Linked DNA regions of Tribolium castaneum. The protein of the gene in region 6 interacts with the protein of the main gene of each other region in a pairwise test. Links are inferred from orthologs where the notes say so. Each region holds a gene or a part of one and is shown on either strand. Other genes may lie near its edges. The genes, in order: abscission/NoCut checkpoint regulator; protein tumorous imaginal discs, mitochondrial; huntingtin-interacting protein K; transcription elongation regulator 1; Ubc4; htt; Rpn10.

Evidence for each region.
Region 1: the proteins of htt (region 6) and abscission/NoCut checkpoint regulator interact in binary tests that used the Homo sapiens proteins (3 or more experiments, as listed by UniProt). The link is inferred for Tribolium castaneum from reciprocal best matches to the Homo sapiens genes HTT and ZFYVE19.
Region 2: the proteins of htt (region 6) and protein tumorous imaginal discs, mitochondrial interact in binary tests that used the Homo sapiens proteins (3 or more experiments, as listed by UniProt). The link is inferred for Tribolium castaneum from reciprocal best matches to the Homo sapiens genes HTT and DNAJA3.
Region 3: the proteins of htt (region 6) and huntingtin-interacting protein K interact in binary tests that used the Homo sapiens proteins (3 or more experiments, as listed by UniProt). The link is inferred for Tribolium castaneum from reciprocal best matches to the Homo sapiens genes HTT and HYPK.
Region 4: the proteins of htt (region 6) and transcription elongation regulator 1 interact in binary tests that used the Homo sapiens proteins (3 or more experiments, as listed by UniProt). The link is inferred for Tribolium castaneum from reciprocal best matches to the Homo sapiens genes HTT and TCERG1.
Region 5: the proteins of htt (region 6) and Ubc4 interact in binary tests that used the Homo sapiens proteins (3 or more experiments, as listed by UniProt). The link is inferred for Tribolium castaneum from reciprocal best matches to the Homo sapiens genes HTT and UBE2K.
Region 7: the proteins of htt (region 6) and Rpn10 interact in binary tests that used the Homo sapiens proteins (3 or more experiments, as listed by UniProt). The link is inferred for Tribolium castaneum from reciprocal best matches to the Homo sapiens genes HTT and PSMD4.

What each region holds. Positions count from the first base shown.
Region 1 is NC_087396.1:21,498,337-21,501,884, forward strand, and holds abscission/NoCut checkpoint regulator, read right to left. Parts: upstream 2,088-3,548; 5' UTR 1,954-2,087; coding exon 1,906-1,953; intron 1,854-1,905; coding exon 1,681-1,853; intron 1,636-1,680; coding exon 1,591-1,635; intron 1,549-1,590; coding exon 1,320-1,548; intron 1,270-1,319; coding exon 1,045-1,269; intron 919-1,044; coding exon 670-918; 3' UTR 501-669; downstream 1-500. Other genes in the region: uncharacterized protein LOC103313582, read left to right, coding at 1-65, 118-367; Sec23 (protein transport protein Sec23A), read left to right, coding at 2,880-3,158, 3,207-3,548. UniProt on the Homo sapiens protein: Key regulator of abscission step in cytokinesis: part of the cytokinesis checkpoint, a process required to delay abscission to prevent both premature resolution of intercellular chromosome bridges and accumulation of DNA damage.
Region 2 is NC_087402.1:4,531,503-4,535,568, reverse strand, and holds protein tumorous imaginal discs, mitochondrial, read right to left. Parts: upstream 2,670-4,066; coding exon 2,507-2,669; intron 2,346-2,506; coding exon 1,587-2,345; intron 1,535-1,586; coding exon 1,341-1,534; intron 1,281-1,340; coding exon 1,067-1,280; intron 983-1,066; coding exon of another isoform or gene 876-982; exon of another isoform or gene 760-875; coding exon 569-759; 3' UTR 501-568; downstream 1-500. Other genes in the region: uncharacterized protein LOC103312662, read left to right, coding at 1-146; Cyp4g14 (cytochrome P450 monooxygenase), read right to left, coding at 3,338-3,510, 3,558-3,743, 3,791-4,066. UniProt on the Homo sapiens protein: Modulates apoptotic signal transduction or effector structures within the mitochondrial matrix. Affect cytochrome C release from the mitochondria and caspase 3 activation, but not caspase 8 activation.
Region 3 is NC_087394.1:36,375,353-36,377,515, reverse strand, and holds huntingtin-interacting protein K, read left to right. Parts: upstream 1-1,261; coding exon 1,262-1,618; 3' UTR 1,619-1,647; downstream 1,648-2,163. Other genes in the region: telomerase RNA component interacting RNase, read left to right, coding at 1-148; cytochrome c oxidase subunit 6B2, read left to right, coding at 325-570; mRpL42 (large ribosomal subunit protein mL42), read right to left, coding at 1,648-2,007. UniProt on the Homo sapiens protein: Component of several N-terminal acetyltransferase complexes. Inhibits the N-terminal acetylation activity of the N-terminal acetyltransferase NAA10-NAA15 complex (also called the NatA complex).
Region 4 is NC_087397.1:11,591,012-11,595,274, forward strand, and holds the start of transcription elongation regulator 1, read left to right. Parts: upstream 1-1,463; 5' UTR 1,464-1,576; coding exon 1,577-1,725; intron 1,726-1,771; coding exon 1,772-2,162; intron 2,163-3,883; coding exon 3,884-4,124; intron 4,125-4,172; coding exon 4,173-4,263. UniProt on the Homo sapiens protein: Transcription factor that binds RNA polymerase II and inhibits the elongation of transcripts from target promoters. Regulates transcription elongation in a TATA box-dependent manner.
Region 5 is NC_087394.1:31,294,615-31,298,152, reverse strand, and holds Ubc4 (ubiquitin-conjugating enzyme E2-22 kDa), read left to right. Parts: upstream 1-1,239; 5' UTR 1,240-1,595; coding exon 1,596-1,658; intron 1,659-1,719; coding exon of another isoform or gene 1,720-1,741; exon of another isoform or gene 1,742-1,873; intron 1,874-1,902; coding exon 1,903-2,055; intron 2,056-2,104; coding exon 2,105-2,187; intron 2,188-2,233; coding exon 2,234-2,397; intron 2,398-2,445; coding exon 2,446-2,582; 3' UTR 2,583-3,038; downstream 3,039-3,538. Other genes in the region: Prps (ribose-phosphate pyrophosphokinase 1), read right to left, coding at 693-876, 951-1,155, 1,720-1,741. UniProt on the Homo sapiens protein: Accepts ubiquitin from the E1 complex and catalyzes its covalent attachment to other proteins. In vitro, in the presence or in the absence of BRCA1-BARD1 E3 ubiquitin-protein ligase complex, catalyzes the synthesis of 'Lys-48'-linked polyubiquitin chains.
Region 6 is NC_087395.1:14,799,517-14,802,215, forward strand, and holds the end of htt (huntingtin), read left to right. Parts: intron 1-1,339; coding exon 1,340-1,741; intron 1,742-1,786; coding exon 1,787-2,134; 3' UTR 2,135-2,199; downstream 2,200-2,699.
Region 7 is NC_087400.1:1,080,021-1,083,810, forward strand, and holds Rpn10 (26S proteasome non-ATPase regulatory subunit 4), read left to right. Parts: upstream 1-1,383; 5' UTR 1,384-1,458; coding exon 1,459-1,484; intron 1,485-1,586; coding exon 1,587-1,727; intron 1,728-1,775; coding exon 1,776-1,887; intron 1,888-1,956; coding exon 1,957-2,163; intron 2,164-2,203; coding exon 2,204-2,648; intron 2,649-2,963; coding exon 2,964-3,169; 3' UTR 3,170-3,290; downstream 3,291-3,790. UniProt on the Homo sapiens protein: Component of the 26S proteasome, a multiprotein complex involved in the ATP-dependent degradation of ubiquitinated proteins.

The DNA.
Region 1 (3,548 bases), on a different chromosome or scaffold from region 6:
GAAATTAGGAATTTCCGACTTGACTATTGCTCGATTAATTGCATGGTTTTTGGGCCTGATTTTGTGTAAGTGGTTTTGTAATTGTTTGTAGTTCATTGTTTCGTTTTTTTTTTATAGGGCGATTTATAAAATTATGGAAATCGAGTTGGAGTTGTTGGTTGATGTGAGGGTGGACATGAACGATGTCGATAATATAGATTACGACAAACACGTGACAATTATTAACAAAATCGGGGGCGTCAACAGGCAAGAGTTGCTCAACTTTGCCAAAGACTGCCCCAAAGGTCTGGCGTTTTTCAAGAGTTTCTCCGAATGTATCGGAAAGTACGTGAAAGCGAAGGAGCAGAGGAAGGGAATTAGTAGATAATGAGATAATTGTTTTGCTAGTTTGTGAGTATTTTATATTAAATTCTATACCTTTTTATTGTACTTGAGAATGGTTTTTGTGAAAATTCCTGATTTATTTAAAAAAAATTTAAAGGCTTGAATCAAACCGCAAATCTCTTAAAATCTTTATTTACATGACATTGATTAAATTTCTTCGTACAATATATCCACATTCACCGCTAAATCTCGACACATCAACGATTTTTTAATTCCGGGAATGTTAAGCAAAAATATTGAAAATCCGTTGTAAAAATATGTAACTTGCTCTAAATCTACGAAATTTCATTTCGACTTGTATGGAACAACTTTGTGATCGGTATCTCCCCAGTTTTTGTGTACTTCAACATTACACTCGCTACAGTATAAATCACCTCCACAATCAAAACACCGGAATTTCGCATCGTTGTTGCACAAAACGCACCACGGAAGCTCCGGAGACGATCGTACGTTGTTTTCATCTTCGTTTGACGAACTTGGAGTGAGTTTTTTTGATTTGGGGCAACGCTCCTCAATCGCCACCTCGTCCATGATCTGCCAAGAGAATTTAAGCGGAAATAATAATAATGTTGACACCAGTAGTTTCAATAAAACAACCGCAGAAACTGCTTTCACTACAGTTTTTACATTGTTTTCAAGAAGCCACCTAAGGAGTTATACCTTTTTCGTGATTTTATCCACTTCCTCCTCAGAGCTACTAGAGTCGTGCAAATTACTAATATATGGTCCCTCGTTTGGTCTCACTCCTTGCTCCCTCAAAGTCGCCAAACGCGCCTCAATCTCCTCCTGGGGGTTGTGAGCCAACTCGATGTCCCTCTCATTCACAAACTGTTCAAGGAGCGAGTCAGCTTTCTGTTGATCCGTCCTTGAATCAACTTGAAACAACTAAAAACCCAGTTTAATGAATGAAAACCAAAAACACAGGGAGTAGCTACAAGTCTGCTGGGCCCCTCCACGTAGTCGTTCTCCCCCTTAAGACTGGCCAACCGCCTCCTTAGCTCCCCCTCACTGGGCGGGGGCCCCTTCTCATCTTTAAGCTTCTCCAACCGATCCAGAATTTTCTGGTCAGCCGGCGACAAACCGCTGCGTAAAGCCTGGATTTTCGGGTCGTTTTTGTACATTGTAATAGGGGGCGCGGCCGGGTTTTCCAGATTTTCCAATCGCCTACGAAATGGATCACACTTTTGACACTGTTTAGTCTAGTACCTGAGGCAGGTCTGGGTCATGAAACGGGGAACGGGACGCCTGGGACTGCAAGGGGAGGGTCATTTGAGGGGTTTTTGCAACGATAGATACTTTATGAAAGCGTCGGGGGGCGCGATTTGGGGCAGTGTCGCGCTTGTCCCTGATGCCAGTTTGGAGTAACACAGTTTGCACACATTGAATTCGCCTGTGCCCTTGTTGGGGATTTTGCATTTTTGCTTCAGACATTTATTGCAAAAGGACAGTCCACAATTTGAACAGCCCATCTGAAAAAAAAATTGTTAACACTTTTAATACGCAATTTCACAACGGACGCACTTCCTTGTGGAAAAAATTAAATTTCGTATTGCAGTGATTACAAGACATAATAGAATTAAAGAGATTTTTTACAAATTTAGACTTTTGTGACAGCTGAATTGATTCGCTGCAAGTGGCTGAAGGCACGTCATGGAAAAATTTGATTTGCACCCATTTGCTGCAAAAAGCGACTTATTAAAGTGTATCATCAACAAGGTGACTCATTGCTCAGTTCCCGTATTTAAATTTACCTTGAACCAACGGTTTTGTAAATAAATTCTTTAATTTTGTTGACGCACTGTGGCTAAGGTGACGCTACAGAAAAAAATTTGACTTTCCCCCCAATATTTGAGAAAAACGCCCTTTTAAGTACTAAGTAATTAATTGTACAAAACCATGACATGATACTACATCAAGCTAGTAGTTTTTTGAATTAAATTGACCATTTCTTTGGTAGCCAAAATGGCTAGAGTGACGTCAGGAATACACTTTCCCCCATTTTTTAAACCACTTTCATGGACAAAATAATTATTAAGCGACGAAACGGTGAAGTAATTCCAATTGAATTAGTAATTCTTTAATTAATTAAAGGCTTTAATTGTTTTTGAAGTGGCTGAAGTAACACCACGAAAAAAAATCGTTTATTTCTTCACATATCGTCCAAATTTGTAAAAACTTGTCGTTACAGTTTATTTATTAAAAAAACGACCAATTACACGCGGTCGTGACGTAATTCAGCCCCAAATTAGCGATTTTTTAACAAAATTTTCAATAGCCTTGTTGTGAGCCATAGATGTCGCCACCAGTGACAGGTGACATATGACGTGGATCTTGAAATGTGTAACAAATGTAAAATGTTTTTTTAAACTTTTAAAATAAATTAAAATCAAGCATTTGACGCGTTTTTTGTGTTTGTGACCACTTGGCATAAGCCGTTCTGCGGTAAGTCTCAACAAAATCGTAAAATTCGCCCAAGTAACAAGGGGGCTGCTCAGATGGCCACCTACGAAGAATACATCCAGCAGAATGAGGACCGCGACGGCATCCGTTTCACTTGGAACGTGTGGCCGTCGAGTCGCATCGAAGCCACCCGTTTGGTGGTCCCCCTCGGTTGTCTCTACCAACCCATCAAGGAGCGCCAAGACCTGCCCCCCATCCAATACGACCCTGTCCTATGTACCCGTAACAACTGTCGTGCGATTCTGAACCCGCTGTGTCAAGTCGACTACCGGGCAAAGCTGTGGGTTTGCAATTTCTGTTTCCAACGGAATCCGGTAAAAAGATAATTTAAATTAAATATTTTTTTACATAAAAAATTAAAGTTTCCGCCTCAATATGCGGCCATTTCCGAGCAACACCAACCGGCCGAACTCATGCCAATGTTCTCCACCATTGAGTACACAATAACACGCGCCCAATGCCTGCCCCCCATCTACCTCCTAGTCGTCGATACGTGCATGGACGAGGAGGAGCTGGGGGCCCTTAAAGACTCGCTTCAGATGTCTTTGAGCCTTCTCCCGCCGACGGCCCTCATAGGGCTCATCACATTCGGGAAAATGGTCCAAGTTCACGAACTGGGCACTGAGGGCTGTAGCAAATCGTACGTTTTTCGGGGGACCAAAGACCTGACAGCTAAACAAATCCAGGAGATGCTCGGGATTGGG
Region 2 (4,066 bases), on a different chromosome or scaffold from region 6:
CTTACGGACACGTTAGAGTCCTTTACGCGTTGTACCTGGAATTTGCTGTCACGTTAGCGGCCCTAGTCTTGTCTCTGACCCAGGCTTCCGCAACGAGGGGCGTTGTCGACATCGGCCTCAAATTGGGGCTCTTGACGAACACTTGAGCTGTGTAGGAAGTGCCTTAGTAGTCGCGCTGCACTTTGGTTTGATATACATATCACTTCCGGGGGGCCGGAGAGTAAGGGTGCGTCAGGGCGATTGAAAAATATTAAAGTAACCGAAGGTTTTATTGAGACAAGTAAAGTGTGTAGGGGGTTGCTTAGAGGTATGTACCCCACACTTTTTTTCCATAAAAAATATGCATAAAAGACACCCCATAATTACAGTTGGTTTAAATTAAAATTTCTAATAAACAAGTCACAAAGTCAATGACTCGTGTGGGTAATTCGAATGTCTGTGATGCAACATCGCGCTGATGTAGCCTTATCAGGACTGCCTTAATGCGAATTAAACAAAACTTTAGATTCTAGTCGGTTTATTCTTTCTTTAGAATAACATTTTAATATAAAACTAGTTAACAAAACAGTTATGGCATTTTATTTCTTTTTGCTTCTTCAGTGTCGCTAACATTTTCATTATCAACATCTCTATCTACAACTTTCTTAGTGTTTTTTTGTGAGTGATTTTCTTTGGCGGTTTCGACTTTCTTACCTTGTAGCACTAACCTAAGGGCTTCTAAAAGTTCTTGTTTGTCTTTCGAGACAAAAATTTTGCTACCTATAAAAATATATTAATGTTAACAAAAAATGACAAAAATTCTATTGTATAGTCTATTTATTTAGTAACTTAACTGTTATATACAAATAAAAAAATCAAACTATACATTGTTTTAATTAGCCAAACAATGCCGATTTGATTTTTGAAAGAAGACTCGGTTTTTCTCTCTCCGCTTGAGATTTAGCTTCAGAACCTGCGAGAGGCATTTCGTCCTTGTCTTTGCCTGTCAACAAAAATTTACGTAAGTTTTGCAAAAACAAGGATCAAAAGCTAAATTTCAAGCCCCCCTAAACCCCCAGAAACTTACCATCAGTTTTTAACGTCACTCCTAAAATTTGTCCCGGAGTATCAGTTTCCAGCTCGGCATATGCCTGGGCTAGGGCTTTTTGTTTAGGAGAAAGTTGTTTTGGTACAGCTATTTTGAAAGTGACATAATGGTCACCATGACCGTAACCATCTACTTTTTTCATGCCTTTGCCGGCAAGTCTTATTCGGGTGTGTGACGACGTTCCCGGCATTACCTAACCCAAAAAAATATTATCGGGAATTACAAAAAAAAAATAATTAGGGGACAAAATCACCTGTATCATGTGGTCTTCGTACAACCCTTCTATACGGATGGTGCCCCCTAAAAGTGCCTGCGCCACGGAAATTTCGGCCTCCGTGTGTACATCAGCCCCGTCTCGTTTGAAATAGCGCGATTTTTCAATATGAAACGTTATAAACAATTCTTTTTGCCCTACCGACATTCTCACAGTTTGACCGTCTTCAATACCTGAAACCCCCAACTCGTAAAAAAAAAATTTTAACACACAAATTTCTCAAACCTGCTGGTACTGGCACCGTGATCCTTTTCCTTTGCACCGTTTGTCCCTTTCCCTCACACTCGACACACTTATGTTTGATAAACATACGACTTCCTTGGCAATACCTACAAGTGGACCGCATAATAAAGGGCCCCCGGGTCACACTTTCCATCCCAGTCCCATCACAATGTGTGCACCGTGTGGCCTTGGTGCCTGGTTCGCACCTCGAGCCGTGACACTTGGGACAGGTGTCCACAACATTGACAGTAATATCCTTATTAGTCCCCCTTGCGGCTTGCAAGAAGCTCAATTTAACCACAACCTCTTGTGCTTGTCCAAACCCAAAATTCGATTCAGCAAAATCATCAAATCCCCCGCTTTTGCCAAAACCGGCCTCTCCGAAAATTTTCCGGAAGAGTTCTTCCGGGTTAATGGTTGACTGGTATTGCCAGCTTTCGGCGAAGCCTTGGGCGCCGGGACGGGGGCCACCGCCGCTCCCCATGCCGCCCATCTGCTCGGACGTGGCGCCAAACGTGTCAAATTGCTTCCGTTTGGTTTCGTCGCCAAGTATCTCGTACGCTTCGGACACCTCTTGGAATTTTTTAGCCGCATTTGGGTCATCTTTATTGACATCGGGATGATACTTTTTCGCTAGTTTATAATAAGCCTTCTTTATTTCGGCCCCAGATGCGTTACGACTAACCCCCAGAATTTGGTAATAGTCTTTCGCCGCACGCAAAACCGGGTTTAGGTGGATTTTTCGGGATGAAATGTGTAAAACTGGAAAATGAGGTTAGGTTAGAAAAAATGCCAAGGCAGCTCAAAAAAAGGCATAATTTTGTGCAACAGTCGTTCACTTGTGTTATTAGACCCGGAAAAAGTGAAGTTCAAAGGTTCGGACTGATAAATGATGCAAATTATGAAGACATGCTGTAACTCACCGTTTTTTACCGGAGAGTTTGTGACATTGAAATTGACCGAAAATTTGTTACAGTGGAGACAATTGTGTAGAAATCTTGCTGAAATTTTGTTTACTTGAGGTGTCACGAAGATATTTAACTGTTTTGTACACAAAATGCCAATAAGACTTCTGACATTCGCCATTTTTTTAGGAAAAGGCAGAGCGTGGTGGTAACACTGTCAATCAATGAATTTCAGCAAATGCCAAGGTGTCCTGGCGCCAATTTTTTTATAGACGATTTTTTTCATTATTCAGCAAATAGCTAATGCAATCAAAAATCAAGCAAATTATCTCTAAAGTATCAAAAAACCTTAAGTATCCTTTATTTTTAACCATCACAAACATGCCTCAACGTTATGTGTTACTGTGTATGCAATCAACAATACATCTTATTTTTGAATTATTTGATAACAATTTGTTGTGTTAAAACGTCTGATTATGAATCATTTATTTTTTGTAGTAATTAATTATTAGTGTTTTGGTCGTTATTTAACTAAATTTATCCGAAAATACCGTCGAAGGGAGAGGCAAAATAAAATAAAAGGCTTTTGAAACTTCATCAATTAGTAATGAATACAATTTAATTATAATTTTTTTCTACATTAGTTATTGACTCCAGACTTTTCAGCTTTTTAAGTTGAATTTTGGTTACGTTCGGTTATTTTACTAATAATTGTGAGTTTTTTGGGAAGGGATAAAATAAAAAGTGTTTGTTGAATGTTCGTCAACTAGCTCTATTTGTCATAAATATAATTTAAGCCCAATTTTCTACAAATATACAAATCTACAACTACGCATAAATAATTTCGATTTAGGCTTTGGCCATCTTCCTGGGTTCCAATCTGACTTTAAATCCTTCGGCCCTCTTAAGAATAATATCACCTTGGAGTTGGAAATCTTTTTCTTTCAAATCCGAATAAATTCGGTAGTTTCTCAAAATCGTAGAGAGCAGTATTTTCAGTTTCAACATGGCATATTTCCGCCCTAGAAAAGCGCTTAAAAACACAAAAAAAACATTATACAAAACGTACCGACACAGCTGCGAGGTCCGGCACTAAACGGAATAAAGGAGTAGTAGTGCCTGTTGGCAGTCCTCTCCGGAAGGAAGTTATCAGGATCGAATTTATCCGGGTTAGGGTAATACTCCTCAAGGCGATGAACTTTGAAAGTACCAATAACGACAGTACAACCGGCAGGAACAGTGTAATCACCAGATGCTTCAAAACAATGATTAAAATGTTAAAATTAAGTTTGGGGAAAATACCTAATTTCAAGTCTTGGTTTAATTGCCGCGCGATAATGGGTACCGGAGGGAACATCCTCAAAGTTTCCATAAGACACCGTTCCAAGTACTTCATTTCGAGAGTGTCGGCGAAAGTTGCAGGCCGGTCAGAGTCGCCAAAGATATCGTACAGTTCTTGTACCACTTTGTCCTGGATGTCCTGGTGGACGCCCATCATCGAGAGGAAGAAGCTGCTGCCAGCGGCCGTGGTGTCGTGGCCTTCAAACATGATCGTGTCGACTTGTTCCTTAATTTCCT
Region 3 (2,163 bases), on a different chromosome or scaffold from region 6:
CAAAACGGGAATGGTGCAGAAAACCAAAACTATGACTCAGGAAGAGAGCGACGCGCAAGACGCGTGGACGTTGTACATGAAGGAGGTTAAGCGATACAAAGAGGCGTGTTGTGATGATGATTCCAAGACGAGGCTGCTCGTTAAATAGACTGTTTTATCCTAGTTTTAAGTCATATAAGCTTAAGGTGTTTTTTGTACAAATCATGGACGCTATCCAACGCTTAGGTAACTAATCGCGTCACCATTGATTGTTTGACATTTACTCGAAAATCAAAATTAATTAGTCACAATTCGACAAGTCCTTTCTCTTGTTTTGCAGACACCATGCCGGAGGTTCTCAAATTTGAAGATTTGAAAACAGCCCCCTTTGACCCCCGTTTTCCCAATACCAACCAAACTCGCTACTGCTACCAAAGCTATTTGGATTATCACCGATGCCAGAAACTGAGAGGAAAGGATTACAAACCATGCGACTACTTCAAGAAGGTTTTCCATTCAATGTGCCCCAATGCCTGGATTGAGAAATGGGATGATCAAAGGGAAAATGGCACATTCCCTGGCAATATCTAAACATTTCTTGTCAGTAGATATAATGTAGTTTACATTCTTTTATTATTCAGTGTTAAACTGTGTAAATAATTTACGTTAAATAAATAATGTCCTAAAATAACTCGCTTGATTTTCGCGCTATTTTCTTTTCAGATCTTCTAACTCTGGGGAACAAGTTTTCCCTTTTCAGACCTCTCATAATTTTCTTTTCTGACATTCTCTTTTCAAAGTCTCCTTCTTTAGAGCATTCTCTTCCTAAACTCTTTTCTCTTTTTAGAACCTTCATTTCTCAGACTCTTTTCTCACACCCTTTTTCATTTTTCTCAAGACATCTTTTATCTTCCGAGATCCTTATCTGCTTGCTCTTGTTTTCAGTTCCTCTTCTGAAGGAAGAGTTTTCTTTTCTGTTATATCTCTCTTTCAGAGTCTTCTCTTCTCAATTGTTTTTCTTATTCTCACAACCTTTTCATTTCGACTCTTCTTTAGTATCCTTATTTTCCCTTCTCAGACAATCCAGTTAAAGGTGTAAATAAAATATAAGGAACAATAAGTTCTCCTTTTTCGTAGTCTGTGCTGGAGCGTTTTTTTGTTTTTGAAACTCCCGCTCTTTTGTTTTGTGTTAGTTACATTCCTTTTTCGGGTTACACGCTTGTCACTTGACGTAGAGTCGGCCCTAACCTCACATTTGGCCATTTTTTGCAAAATTTGAACCATGGCAGATGAGGAAACCGTGAACGGCAGTAGCGAAGAACTGCCCGAAAAGTCGCAAAAGAAAACCGCAAAGTACGACAGTGGGGCCGCTGACCTCGAGAAAGTCACCGACTATGCCGAAGAAAAGGAAATTTCGACACAGAACGTAGCTGGTGCCATTTCAGCAATCGGCGATCGCCGTAACAAAGAAGCCCTCGAGAAACAAGCCCGTGAAAAAGAATTGCTCAAAGTATCAGTCAAGAAAGAAGACGTCGATCTCATCGTTCGCGAAATGGAAATTTCAAGGACGCAAGCCGAACGAACCCTTCGAGAATACCACGGGAACGTTGTCAATGCACTTGTAGCTCTAACCAACTAATTTATTACGATTTTGTATTTAAATAAATTCTACAAATATTCGCGATCCATTGGTGTCTTTTTAGCGCGTTTATCACGCGCACGAGGGAACCAACGATGTTTCGTCGTGTGCGTGATGTTCATCAGCTCTTGCCGGGCTTGTTCAGGTGTTTTTTTATTAAACACTTCCTTGAGTTGGGGCGTAAGCTGCGTTTTAAGAACGGAAGTGTCTTCGACTTGTTTTTCAGGCAAAGGTTGGGTACATTCGTACGGAAAGTCCTGTTTTGGGTGCCACGCCACGTACGTGCTTTCGTCGTCAGTTAAGACGATCTTATGGTCCGGGAATTTGGCCGAAAAGAGCCTTTTAGTGACCGTGCTGATAAGTCTACTGTGACATAACCTCAAACTCATTTCTACAAAAATTCCCAAAGTTACGAGAACACGAAACCGTTCTAGATAACTCACTGAATGCAGTAGTAGTGTATTTGTTGTTAATACGTACAATTACATTGACTAAATTACTTTTTTGGGCTTTAAATATTCAAGTGTTTGTAAAACCCAAATTAC
Region 4 (4,263 bases), on a different chromosome or scaffold from region 6:
ATTCTATACTTATTATCTCTTACAGTTTTTGAAAAAACTCACAAGAAACGGATTTTACTTCGTAATTTTTATAGTAATCAAGTAGACCTTGCAAATTCGTCAACAATTGTCAACTTGAACATTTTATTTAATTTTTTGACTGATTTATTAATTATCTAATAAGCAGTAAAATATTAATATTTAATTATGGTTTATTATCATAATTTATGTAAAGTAACTCATTCAGTCTGCCATCGAATTTTGAACTTCTTGAATGAAAACGGTGATCAAATAGAATTTTTTTTTAATTAATAGCACAATTTTATCATATTTTTCGAAAGTTTAGTTGATTAAAAATGAAAATAATTAGGTAAAATTCAATTTCTTGCGATTATTCCAAAATCTGTAAGAGATAGATATACAGGGTGCTCAAAAACTGGCGCACCAACTCAGTGGTACGTTATTGAGAAGCAAGTGCAGATTACGGGAAAAATGTTGAAAAAATTCCTAAAGTCGTATTTTAAAAAATCTGAAGCTACAAACCTATTGTGTTAACTTCTTTAGTTTTCATTATTTTTTTATATTATTATGTTTCATACCAGGTAATCGTTCCGTAACAAAACGATGAACAATTATTTTAAAATTTACTATCAGATTTTAGCAGTTTTTTAAATTTAAAAAAACTAAAATTCATCCAAAAAATCACAATGTGTAGATGTGCCAATACTGGGAATTATTTCCTAGGAAACCGTTTCAAAAATAATTTATTTTTATTGTTGCTCAAATTCTATTGCGATCATGACTATTAGACAACGTTGCCACATATCATTTACCTAAAATTAGTTATTTATCAATAACTTTAATACAAAGAATTTTTTTACTATTTTTACCTTTATATGTAACCACTTCTCTGCCACACACCATTGAGTTGGTGCGTCAGTTTTTGAGCACGCTGTAGAAGACTGTTTTATAATCATTTTTTAAATTATTTATGCACTTCAAAAAATTGATAGATAATGTAATTTATAGTTTCAATAAGAGATCTAATAATTTTATTTTACTGTTTTACTATTTTACAATTTTATCAATCTCATTTAAAAAAATAATTCGGTAAAAAATGCGACGTTGGCGTTTATAGTTTTGAAACAGCTAATACTAACAACTAGGGTATATTTTACTAATTCAAAAATGCAATAAAAATAGGTGGTTACTATTTGAAAATTTAAAGAATCAGCCTGTATGAAATGATCATTTGTGGTATTTCTTTGTTGGCGAAAATGTTTTATTTTTTTAAGGCGTTTAAATAAATTATGCGGAACAGTCGGTGGGCAGTGTTATGTTTTAAAATTTGTTGTTTTAATTATTGTTTTTAAAAGAAAATTTATGTAGAAATCATCCAAAAAATTCAAACCTAATTTCGCGCGACTTTTGGGGAAAATTTGTCGCTTGTGGTTGGTATCTGGGAATCAACAAACAAAAAACGCGCATGCGCATTAACGTCATAAACCGAAGAAGTGCATTTGTTGACGCCATTTTCCGAAAAATAAATCTTAATTGACTCTAAATGGCTAAATCGATTGAAATTAAATAAAACACAATGGAAGAAACAGACGTCTCCATGGAATACGACGGCGCCGACGTCGACGGCGTCGCCCAAGAGGAATACGAAGAGGACGGAGGCTTCGAAAACGACATTGAACTCGGAGATGACTTCCAAATGCGAGGCCGAGGACCTTCAGGGTTCAGGTATTCAAGTTTTAAACCGCCACACTTCCTAACGGTGTGATTACAGGGGCCGCGGACGCGCGTGGCCGGGTCCTCCAGGTCCGCCAGGACCGCGTGGAGAAGGTCCCCGGTTTCGAGGAAGGGGATTTGGGCCCGGTGGCCCTCCTCCGTTTCGTGGACGTGGAGGACCACCTCCTCCGATGTTTGGACGTGGGGGACCTCCCAGAAACCCACCACCAGGGCAGGGATTCAATGGACCTCCGAATTTTAATGGGCCTAACTGGGGAGGACCGATGGGGCCCCCGGGGACGATGGGTGGACCGCCCAATATGATGGGACCCAATGGACCGCCGTTCGGACCACCGGGCATGATGGGGGCGCCCCCGGGTGGACCCATGGGCGCTCAGGGCGGGACGACCAATGGGCAGTTTCCACCAGTAGGGCAAAATCCCACAACAGTAAGTTTTTTCGACGAGATTTTGCGAATTACCATCTTTTTGGAATTCGAATTTTTCAAGTTTATCTGTTCGAGTTATCAAATAATAAATACAGATAAGAATTTCACGTAGGGTTTCTATTGCCTACACTTTGTTTTTCTTGATTTAAAGTCTAGGTATTCCCGGGAAATATCGAATTATTACTAAATCTTAATCAAATAAAGAATTAAACTAGACTTTTCCAAACATTTTCAATAAAGATAAACACTTTCTTAAAATAGACCTGATATAACATTAAATTTTGCGGAAAACATGTCACCAAAAATAAAGTAGAATATAATTTATTTCGTAGTTTAACCCATCGAGAGTTCATCGGACGATCGGAGATTTGATTCTTCGGAATATCCTGATTATCCGTAGTTCATCTTTATGTAAAAATAACATAATTTTTGCTTTTTCCGTGTGCTGAAGCACGTTTGTTTGTCACTTCGATACATATTTTTTTCGAAAAATTGGCTGATCAACATTTCAAATCCAAACTGACATTATTTTGACTTGTATTACTCGATTAACACGTTTATGAACAAACCAAAAAAAAAAAAGGTAAAATAGGATTGAAACAATATATTATTATACGAGTTTTATAAGACGTTCTATTGCGGCACGAATGGTTTTGGAGCACGACGAAGCAGTGCTCCAATAGAATGAGTGTCACAATTAAGTCTTATAAAACGAGTGTAATATACTATTTTCTATTTTTGTTTGTTTCTGTTTAGTTTAACTTATCAAAATCTGTTCAAACTATTTTCTCTTAATTTTGTTAATTGTTCTTTTTCAATAAACGGCTTGACGTTGTTGATAGATCACACTAAATTACAGTGATGACTGATGACACCCAGCGCAGAACTGTCAATATAACTACAAATTTACTAAAAGGAGTTGTACAAAAGTTCTCTTTGTAAAACTAACAAGCGTTCATTTAAGAAGTGCTTTGAAAATAAAAAACAATTGATTACAAATGTTTGTGATTAATTCGTTCTTTTATAACTTTACTTTTTGGCAGTTAAAAAGATAACAGATTTTCATAAAGATATTTATTTATTATTTATAAAAACTTTTGGAAATGTTTTTTTTTGTTGTTTAACACACGTAACACATGGCCTTTGAACACTATTTATCACTCATAGGTTATGATGTTATGAATTTTGGTGAACTCGTGTAGTAGGAAATATCAGGCCATTCGGAGAGTTTTCTTAATAATGAACACATGATACTTTCAGTTTCACAATGAATAATTTGTGAAACCAAAGTAGAAAAAATTTTACCTTTCCAAACTTTTAAGACCTTTAAGCTGGTATTTGAATCAAAATCTCACCGTTTTTTTGCGAGATGTCATTAATACATACAGAAAAATCGCCAAATTACATTATTTTTGCCTTTTGGAGCGTTTTATCTTTTTTTAGCTATAAGCGGAATTACTTCGCAAGCCGAATAAGCACTAAATGGAACCAAAAATTGAGTTATTTTTTCACACTTTCAAATACATTTTTGAGTTACATATTTAGTTTTTTTCTTGTGAGTTTGCTGCACCGTGCTGAAAAATGACTAAATTAATTATTTTATTTAATTTTATAGCCTCGATATTATTTTTCCTCTTTCGTATGTTTTACCACTTTGTAAATAATAATTTATTATTTATCGAAGTTCGACTACAAGAATTCAATTGTAATTGTTTTTTGCAGGGGTTAGATGCAAATAGTGAAATTTGGGTAGAGACTAAAACCTCAGAAGGCAAGTCATATTTTTATAATGCTCGTACTAGAGAAACCACTTGGACTAAGCCAGAAGGTCCTAATGTAAAAGTAATCTCTCAGGATCAAGTGGAAGCAATGGCACAAGCGGCCACCACAGGTTTAGCCCAAGGAACGTCAACTGCAGCTCAGGCGGCGTTAGCGCAGGCTAACGTTTCAAATAAACCTGAAGGTACCTCTAATCCAATTTCTATCCCAAAAAAATTAACGAGAAATTTAGTTGAGTCAGAGGAATCGAAAGGCGATGCCAAACAAGCTGGGAACGCAATGCCTCAAAACATGTTAGCGGGTCCTCCGCCAGGTATGCCCCC
Region 5 (3,538 bases), on a different chromosome or scaffold from region 6:
AATCTATTGGCATTATTGAGCTATTGGTCATTCTTCTAATTTGTTTCAGGTGATGGCTAGGCATGGAAGTGTATATTATTTGTATAAAATTTTGAATTTGATATTTAAATACTGGCAAACCTTAATCACACAATCACTTAGTATTTATTATGATAAGAAATAGACTTATTTTTCCACTTTTGTGTCAAGAAAAACATCAATAAAATCTAAAAGTACACAATAATTGTAGTAATAAAAAGTAACAAATTAAAGACTGTCTTTGTTAAATGGATATAGCAAAATCACTTTTAATAGTGCAGTTACATTTATTATGCCTTTGCTAATATTCTAGTAAAAAGCCTTTATGACTATTTAACACATCATAAATCATATATTTCTTAAGCAAAGCAAACATGTTTGAAATACTTAAGTCGCGGCAGTGGCGCCCTCTCAACCACGTGCTCCTTTTGCCGACCTAACGGTAAACAAATTGTTTCAAATTAATAAACTACGTGGTCGGATTGAACTTGTCCAATTATTAAACCAGATGCTTGACTAATTTGTCAGGTCAATAGGAAAAACCACAACCCTAATTGTCCTAAAAACCAAAACTACGGTCTCCACAAACCCGCTTGCAGATGTATACAAAGTCACGTGGCGTCTAGGTTATCTACACATGTGCAGGTACACAATTGGAGCAATTGTGCACTCACCTTGTCCTTCTTGTCTTGCCGAGCGTACGGGAAGCATGGAATGACTGCAGTGACTCTGCTCGCGGACGCAATTTTGCACGCATTTATCATGATGAGGAGTTCCATCAGGTTGTCGTTAACTTCCCCGCTGCCCGACTGCACGATGTACACGTCTTCCCCACGGACGGACTCCCCAATTTCCACGCTAAAATAAAATAATAATAATAAGTCGCAATTTAAGCCAAGTCAATAAGCAAATAATTTCCAAAGCCCACTCACCATGTTTCCAAGTTGCTGAATTTCTTCGTAACCACTTTGCCCAAGTCGATCCCCAGCCGGTCCACGATCCTCTGGGCCAGGTCGGGGTGCGAGGTCCCGCTGAAGACTTTAATGTTCGGCATTCTGCTCTGGAGGATCAACGAAGACTTTTCCAACTTTGCCCGCAACAAGCTTTTAGCACGTACGGGCTGGGAAACGGGCATAACTGCAAAACGCGCAGCCAATCAGAAGCGGGGTCTAATGTTATCGGCAAACAACGCTCCAGAATGATAAACCTTGTGACGAAATACTCCCTGCTTATCGAAGATTTCCGTCGAAAATATCGCCGAAATTGTCAACAGAAATCGCGCGGGGGGGCCCTTACGTCATCGTTGCAGCAGTCCGAGGGAAAATCCCCGAATATTTGCGAGATTTCGGCCGATTTGGCGCGCGCGTAAATTCCGTAAAGTTGGCTATAATGCTATTGAAAACAAGTGACATTTCTTCATTTAGCATTTCATAATTTGCCTAACTTCAGTGAGAAATTAAAAGTGTGAAAATCGATCTTTAGCCAGTGTATTTTTTACTTTTGTCAACAAATCGCTATTTTTTAGAGCCACGGTTTATCTGTTATGTTTTACTGCATTTAGGAACTTCCCCACCAGAATGGCTAACATAGCAGCACAAAGGATACGACGAGAGTTTAAAGAGGTTATTAAAAGTGAAGAGGTAGGAACTTCGCAAACACTGTTTTTCTGTTATGTCATTCTAACTCCTAAACGCCACTTACCGTTCTCGGTTTCCTCGGACATTTCGAATTTTCACACTTGAAATTGTCAGTACACAACGTAAAATATTGATTACTGAAAAATGCCCCCTGCCATAAATTCAAAGCGAAGGGGTTATCACTCCAACGTCATTTCGTAACAATCAACAAACTTGGCTAATACGATCGTGCTTGTTTGAAATTTAGGTAGCAAAATGTGCCATCAAAGTGGAACTCTTAAATGATAGTTATACAGAGCTCAAAGGCGAGATCACGGGCCCCCCGGACACGGCCTACGAAGGGGGCACCTTCGTATTAGAGATTAAAGTACCTGAAACATACCCCTTCAATCCACCCAAGGTACGTTTCAACATAACCAGGAAAAAAAAGACTAAGAGTTTTGTAACAGGTCAGGTTCATTACGAAGATATGGCACCCGAATATATCATCAGTAACGGGCGCTATCTGCTTAGACATTTTAAAGGACCAATGGTGCTTTCTATTACGTGGTAGTATTTGTTATTAAATGAAATTCTAGGGCTGCAGCTATGACGCTGAGGACGGTGTTGTTGTCGCTCCAAGCGCTGCTCTCAGCTGCGGAGCCCGATGACCCACAGGACGCCGTGGTGGCGAAGCAGTTTAAGGAAAATATAGAAATGTTTCAAATGACGGCCAGACATTGGACAAATGTTTACGCAGGCGGTAATTTATGCAGTTTGCAATTAGGACGGCGTGACGCTCTGTTTGCAGGTCCCCATGTAAATAAAGAATGTGACGATAAAATAAAAAGGCTAGTTGATATGGGAGTGGAGGAGCACCAGGCGCGGGTCGCTTTGTCGTCGTATAACTGGGATATAGAAAGAGCAACTGAACAGTTATTTAGTTAGTGAACTATTTTAATCCGCCATTTTACTATATTCTCTCTACACTTTTCCAACAGTTGGTTATGAAACGCAGTTTCATTTTCTACCCAATAGATTACTGACTTAAATTATTTTGAAGGTGTACAAGATGAATAAAAGGATTGTTTGCATTTACCTTATGTCTCAGTAATCACTATACGAAAGTCTTGTTTTGGCTCTTGCGAACTAATTTCAACTTTTGTCAATATTGGTGTTTGAAATTTATTGATGTTACTGATGCTTATCGTTAGTTCTTTCGAGTACAAAGTCTTTCAATTAATTACGGTTTATTCTTGCTAGTGAAAACCACCAGATTAGTTTTTTAGCACTTCAAGTATGGTAATTGAATGAAATGCTTTGTATAACCACTTTCCAATTAGTTACTGTTTTTATTTGTAAATCGGCGATTGAATACTGTTAAAATAAAATTTTAATCTTGAATATACAGGCACTGAGGTGAGTTACAACCCTAAGACAATCCACGTCCATTTGAAACTCAAATACTCCATGAAAATAAAAGTTGCGCATTAACTCTTAATTTATGCACTGATTATGCAACAGATTTACATAAGTAGCACCACGAAAGGTCGAGACTCCTTCGGTACTATTTCAAAATAGATTTAAATTCAATTACAATCACCTATTATTAGTCCAGTCATTGAATAATTTCAATGGTCCAGTCAAATAAGCCTGTAAATCGAAATGTTCAAAAGCTCGCTTTTTTTATATAAGTTACATGGAGCAGTTAAAAACGTTTAGACAAAGAATTTTTTAGTTGAAGAAACGAAATTAAAGCGTTTTTTACAGATTATTCAAAATCGCTGAAAGCTAGAAAAAAAAGTTTTAAACAAAAATTGTAAAGCCGAAAATTTTGCATAAAAATGTTCACTTGACTGTTTTTGATATTAATATTAACAGAAAGTTAGGGCGGTTAAAATAAT
Region 6 (2,699 bases):
CGTAAATAAAATAAGTACATAAACATTTTCCAAGATCTCTCTTCGATTCTACTCTACGTTTGTTCAAATTCGTGTCTAATGTCGTTTAGAATTCAGCCAAATTATTCTTTAGAATTGTTTTTGTACTTTTTTCTAGTTTTTTTTGTAAAATTATTCTCTGATTCTTTTTAAAAGTCTCGACTCTTTATTACATTATTTTCATTTTTTTTTAACATTAAAACATTCTCCAATTTTTTTAAATTTTAACCTGCGTCTTTCCGAAATTCTTTCATCGTTTTGTTTAAATATTTTTATCATTAATTTTCTATCTTTTCTCTATTTTTTAAAGATTTTTTTATAATGCTGACGGCAAATTTTAATCCTGGACTCTTCTGTAGATTATTTTATAAATTCTTCTCCAGATTCTTCTTTATAATTATTTTCTAAACTCTGCTTAAAATAACTATTATAAACACTTCTTCATTTTTTACATTTTTTTTAGATTGCACTATGTGCCTTTACAAATTTTTATTATTGTTTCGTTTAGATTTTTTCCAGATTATTTTTTATAAATTTTTCTTTTAGACTGCACTCAAAATAATTTTATAAACTCTTCTTAAACATTCTCCAATTCTCTTTTTAATTTTCTATTCTGTCATACCGAATTTTTTTTCATTGCGTTTAAAATTATTTAGAATTTTTCCAGATTATTTTTTATAACTTTTTCTTTTAGACTGCACTCCAAATAATTTTATAAAGTCTTCTTAAATATTCTCCAAATTCTCTTTTAAATTTAATTCTTAATTAAAAAAATTATCGTTTTGTTTAAAATTTTTCATCATTACTTCTCTACCCTTTCTCTAAATTTTTCCTATATTCTTCTGTATATTTTTTTTAAGATACTTGTCTATTTTATATTCTAAATCCGTTTTTTATGTCTAAAGTTTGAACATTTTGATTATTTTGAAAATCCGTCTTTAGATTACCTTATAAATTTTTGTCTAGATTTTATTTTGTATAGACTGTACTCAAAATTTCTTTAAAAACACGTCTTCATTCTCCAAATTTTCTTTACTCTGGTCTTTGTCAAAATTCTATTATAGTTTCGATTAGAATTTTTCTAGATTATTTGGCATTGTTTTTTGCGAAACTTAACATTCTAAAAACAAAGTTTTTAAAAAAAATCCCGCAGTATCTTAATTATTGATAAAATATTTCTCAAAAACTTATTACATGATCTTAGAACTCATCATATTTTCGAATAATCTCAAACGGGCCTAAAAATTCTCCAAAAATCTTCCTAAAATTTACGAAAGTTGCGAGAAAATCATTTATTTACCCATTTAATTTTGTGCTTTAGGCTTTGGAACGACTGGTGATATTCAAGCCAACCCTCACAAAAGGCATAAGTAAACAAATAATGAGCCTAGCACTCGAAAAAACAAAAACCGAAAATCCGAACGTATCAATCCTGGGCCTCCAACTCCTCCTCAGCTACATGTACACCGACTGTTCCGAGCAGCTCGAAGCTGTGGGCAGCCCCACAAACCCCGACCACTTAGTACAAACAATCGAAAAAATCTCTGCAATTTTCGAGCACATCAAACGTGGCTACATGTCCCAAGTTGAAATTTTGTGCCACGTTCTGCCCGACATACTCAACGACTTTTTCTCCCCGGCCGACATCCTCACGAAGGTGATAAGCGAGTTCCTATCGCCGCAGCAGCCCCATCCCCAGCTTTTGAGCAAAGTTGTCTTTCGGGTGAGTTGTTGCTAGTTCGGTTCGGTTTGTACCATTTTCGGTTAGGTGTTCGAGCGAGCGATTGAGGAGAAACAGCTTCCGTTACTACAAGACTGGGTGGTTTTTAGTCTTTCCAATTTCACGCAATCGTTGTCGGTTGGAATGGCAACGTGGTGCTTGACTTGCTTCTTCATAAGCGCAAGTTCGAACGAGTGGTTGCGGCTATTTTTCCCTTACGTGCAGACGCGTGTCGGTAGGTACGAGTACGAGGACCGGAAAATGCTGTGCATTGCTGGGGCGGACTTCTACAAGAACCTGACCAACCAGAACCAGAAAGACACGTTCATTGAGAATTTTCGCAAAATTAAGGAGCAACCCGACACGCTGTTCACCGATTTGTTATCGTCTCTGTAAATAGTAGGACTTACAACAAATTTAATTATCTCTATTGAGTAAGAAATAAAAAGAAATTAACATTTTTGCTGTTTATTTCATTTGATTTCGGTTCATTCAATGTTTTCGAGCTGACGCACACTCGGCGCATGGAATTTCGGTGTTTCCTTGTGACAACCTGTCATTGTCAAGCCCGACTTATCTTGTGGTTTTTTAATTGTTTATATTAGTAAAAGTGATTGTTTAAACAAATTTGCGATAAAATTTTATTGCAAATAAAGCATGAATGGCCGTTGAACTTTAAGGTAAGCAAAAATGCGCAAATCCCGGCGTTATTCAAACGAGCGGATAATCTCGCTGAGAAGTTCGTCTAACAATGGGATATTTCCTGTTTCTTCACAATTGTCTTTTATCACGGAGTTATTCAACAAATCCTGTTCATAAGTGCTGGTACGTGTGCTGTGTTAAACAACTCGGCTCATTTGAACACGTCTTGTCGTCGCGATTTAATTTCCTTGGGTAAGGTTAGGAGAATAGCTTTGCACTTTCACTTTTATCGCAATTTGCATCAATAATATTCCCCCTA
Region 7 (3,790 bases), on a different chromosome or scaffold from region 6:
AATCACTTGGGAAATACTTTCATCTCAACTTGAAATAAAACCGAAACGTCTACCAGACTTTAAATTAAAAAAAAAAAACATGGCTTGATTATTTGCATCCGTAATTTCCCCGAATCTGCTTTAATATTAAATACAGTTCAAGGTAGTACACGTTTTTTTGCCATTGTCTAATTTGTCTATTACCAGTAATGATCTCAAGCCATAAACTTTGAATACAAGGACAGCATTTTACGCTAATTAATTCCAGACCTCGTTAGGTTTTTAAATTTATTAAGATTAGGTCGATTTAAGGCACTTTATCACACACAAATAATTAATTACGATCTGATCCATTTTTTTAAATTATTTATGGCATTAATAGATAATACGCTTGTACAAGACAACAAAAGTATAGAAGAATACCAATTATACCGCAAAAAATATAGAATAAAAAGTGAATTATTTATGTTAATAAAATATGCGAAATTATTGATTGTGGAAACTAAAAAAACAGTGCTGCAAACCCCAGTCAAAAAACCCAAATTTTTAAATCATCCCACAGCCTACTATCAGCACTCCGTTCCTGTGTAAATAACAACAGGTAAACAGCGCTGTTGACACAGTAACGACGGTCCCAATTATAATAAAACCCACTCTAATCGATTAAATTTCGTGTTTACATTGAAAATCTCTGCCCAAATTACGCGCCCTAACCTATCCGACTTTTAGACGCATTACCCCCCCAGAAACAAAAGAACATCGCCACGGAAAAAGCCGCCAGCTCACCTGGTTTTGCGTAAAATCGTCCCACTTTCGAGCGATTACAGCATTTTCTTGCCAATCACATCCATATTGTACGAATTTGTTTTTATTCCAACACTTTACACTTGTTCTGCTGTTCACCATTCGCTACCTGTCGGATTTTGACACTACACCTGAGATCGCAATCGCACGGTGAGAAAATCCCTAACGCGCACGTGGACAGAGTTCAAAACTTTTTAATGCAATTTCGTGTTTCGGGTCATTTTATGGATTATTTTCGTTCGTGTGGCGAATTGGCACGCTAGGAAGTGCTTATCGCGTTACTTTTGCGGCAAGGTTTTGCGCCTAAATTGGGGGAATTACCGGGGGCTGGGCCACGAACCGGCAAAAATTAAACAAACGAAGCTAAAACTCCCACACTAACACGATTTTAGACTCACCTGCCTGGAAGTTGCTTTTTTATTAATTATTATTTGTCTAAATTATTAATTATCACAACCAAAGAGTTTCAGTGGCAGAATGTCACAAAAACGGGGGCTTGAGTCACTTAAATACATTATTTTATTAATCTTTCGATAAATTATTACGAAGCTTGAAGTTTTCGCGCACTTGAAGTTTTTGGGTTGGCGGCATTGATTTGCCCAAGCAGACGTCAGTACCAGAATTTTCGTAGTTTTTTGGCCAAAAGTGTTCAATTTAGCCCAAAAACCTAGCAAAATGGTCCTAGAGAGTACGATGATTTGGTAAGTGGCCCCACTTTTGTAAAAAATCGAAAGTGGCGTCAAAATTGTGCACCTAACCTCAAATTCCAATGACTTGGCATTATTTGTTTGTTTGTGCCCCAGTGTGGACAATAGTGACTACATGCGGAACGGGGACTTCCTCCCGACTCGTCTGCAGGCCCAACAGGACGCTGTGAATTTAGTTTGCCACTCGAAGACGAGGTCAAATCCTGAAAATAACGTCGGATTGTTAACCCTAGCAAAGTGAGCCCCCCTGTGCTTGCAAATCGTGTTCTGATTGATTGGTTGCAGTGTTGAAGTATTAGCGACTCTTACAAGCGACGTGGGGCGCATTTTGTCCAAGCTGCACCAGGTCCAGCCCAATGGGGACATCAACCTGCATACGGGGATCCGCATTGCTCACGTAGGTTTTGAGAAAAACCCAAAACTATTTAAAAAAACTACAAAAAAAATAAAATAACTTTGTTCCCAGTTGGCACTGAAGCACCGCCAGGGCAAGAACCACAAAATGCGAATCGTGGCCTTCGTTGGCAGCCCTGTGGCGTCCGAAGAAAAGGAGTTAGTGAAATTAGCGAAAAAATTAAAAAAGGAGAAAGTAAACGTCGATATAGTCAGTTTTGGTGAAGACTTCACCAATAATGAAGTCCTGACGACTTTTATCAACACTTTGAACGGAAAAGTATTTATCCGATTTTCCTATTCAAATTTATTAGCTCTAGTCTTTGAAGGACGGCAGCAGCAGCCACTTGGTGACGGTGCCCCCTGGCCCCCATCTGTCGGACGCTCTCATCTCCTCGCCCATAATACAAGGGGAGGATGGTACGGGCGGGGCCGGTCTGGGGGCTTCCGGTTTCGAGTTTGGTGTGGACCCCAATGAGGACCCAGAACTGGCGCTGGCGCTGCGTGTGTCCATGGAGGAGCAGAGGCAAAGACAGGAGGATGAGGCGAGACGGGCTAAGGAGGCTTCGTCTACTGAAACGGGGGCTAAAACTTCGCCCATTAAGGAGGAGCCCAGTGAGGAGGCAATGCTGGAGAGGGCGCTGGCGATGTCCATGGAGGAGGATGGGGAGAGTGCCCCTGCGGGGGTTCCCACTGTCGATTTTGCGAATATGACCGAGGATGAGCAAATTGCGTTCGCGATGCAGATGTCGATGCAGGATGCACGTAAGTGGGGGCTTAGGTTGTTGTAAATTGTCCGAATGTACTGAAATTTTGCATGCTTACGTAATAATCGGGTGAAAACAGTGAAAGATTTTTTTTTAATAAAATTTTGGGTTACAAGCGCTGAAAAACGCAAAAAACACTAATTGTTTGGTGAATTTTGTACTTTGTTGTTGGTGTTTTTTTGGCTTGTTTTGTGAAAGTTTGTTTAAAAAGGAATTGAATCGTCGCTGGTTTTTCGGTTTTCTTTTTAAAGAAATTTCGTGACTAGTTTCTGGTGAAAGTTTGCAAGATTGCTTTTATTTGGGGGTGTTGTAGAAGAGTCGAGTTCTGGGAAGAAAGAGGAGCCGATGGAGGTTGAAGGAGATGAAGATTATTCGGAAGTAATGAATGATCCGGCGTTTCTGCAAAGTGTTTTGGAGAATTTGCCAGGAGTTGATCCGCAGTCGGAAGCTGTGAGACAGGCGGTGGGGAACTTGAAGGATAAGAAGAAAGAGGATAAGGAGGATAAACAGAAGAAATAAGTTAGGGATAATTGTTACTTTAGTTATTTTTTTACATAATAATTATACATTTATATGCGGAACTGTATTGATTTCATTTGTAGTGTGAAGTATCATTTCAAATAAATGGATTAACTAATCACCTCATTGTGTTTTTTTTTTAATATCTAAGACCTTCTAAAAAGTTCGAGTCACGGATTAAAATTAATAAAAACTCGTACTTCAACTAAGATATCAAAAAACAACAGACTTTTTATTTAAAAAGTTTGTGTTAAAATATCGGCAAAAGACGGTCAGCACCTGGGGCCTTGGTGGCTGAGTGGTATAAGCGCCACTTACGACGGGGGAGGTCGCGGGTTCGAACCCGGATCAGAGTAACAATTTTTCTATGAAAAAAAGTGTAGAAAAGGTAAGGAAATAACACGTAAGCAAAAATAAGAGATTGAGAGAACACATAGACGTATAAACGTAAAGCGGAGCATAAAACTGACAGAAATAAGAAAATAATGCGGCAAAAGGTAAAAGTACGTAAAGGCGCCAAATTGTAAACGTAAGAGCACATTGTAATAAAGGAAAAATACCTTTTGTTTTGAGAGAAAAAGAGATGAACGTAAAGGTGAAACATAACTTCAAACTTTAGCG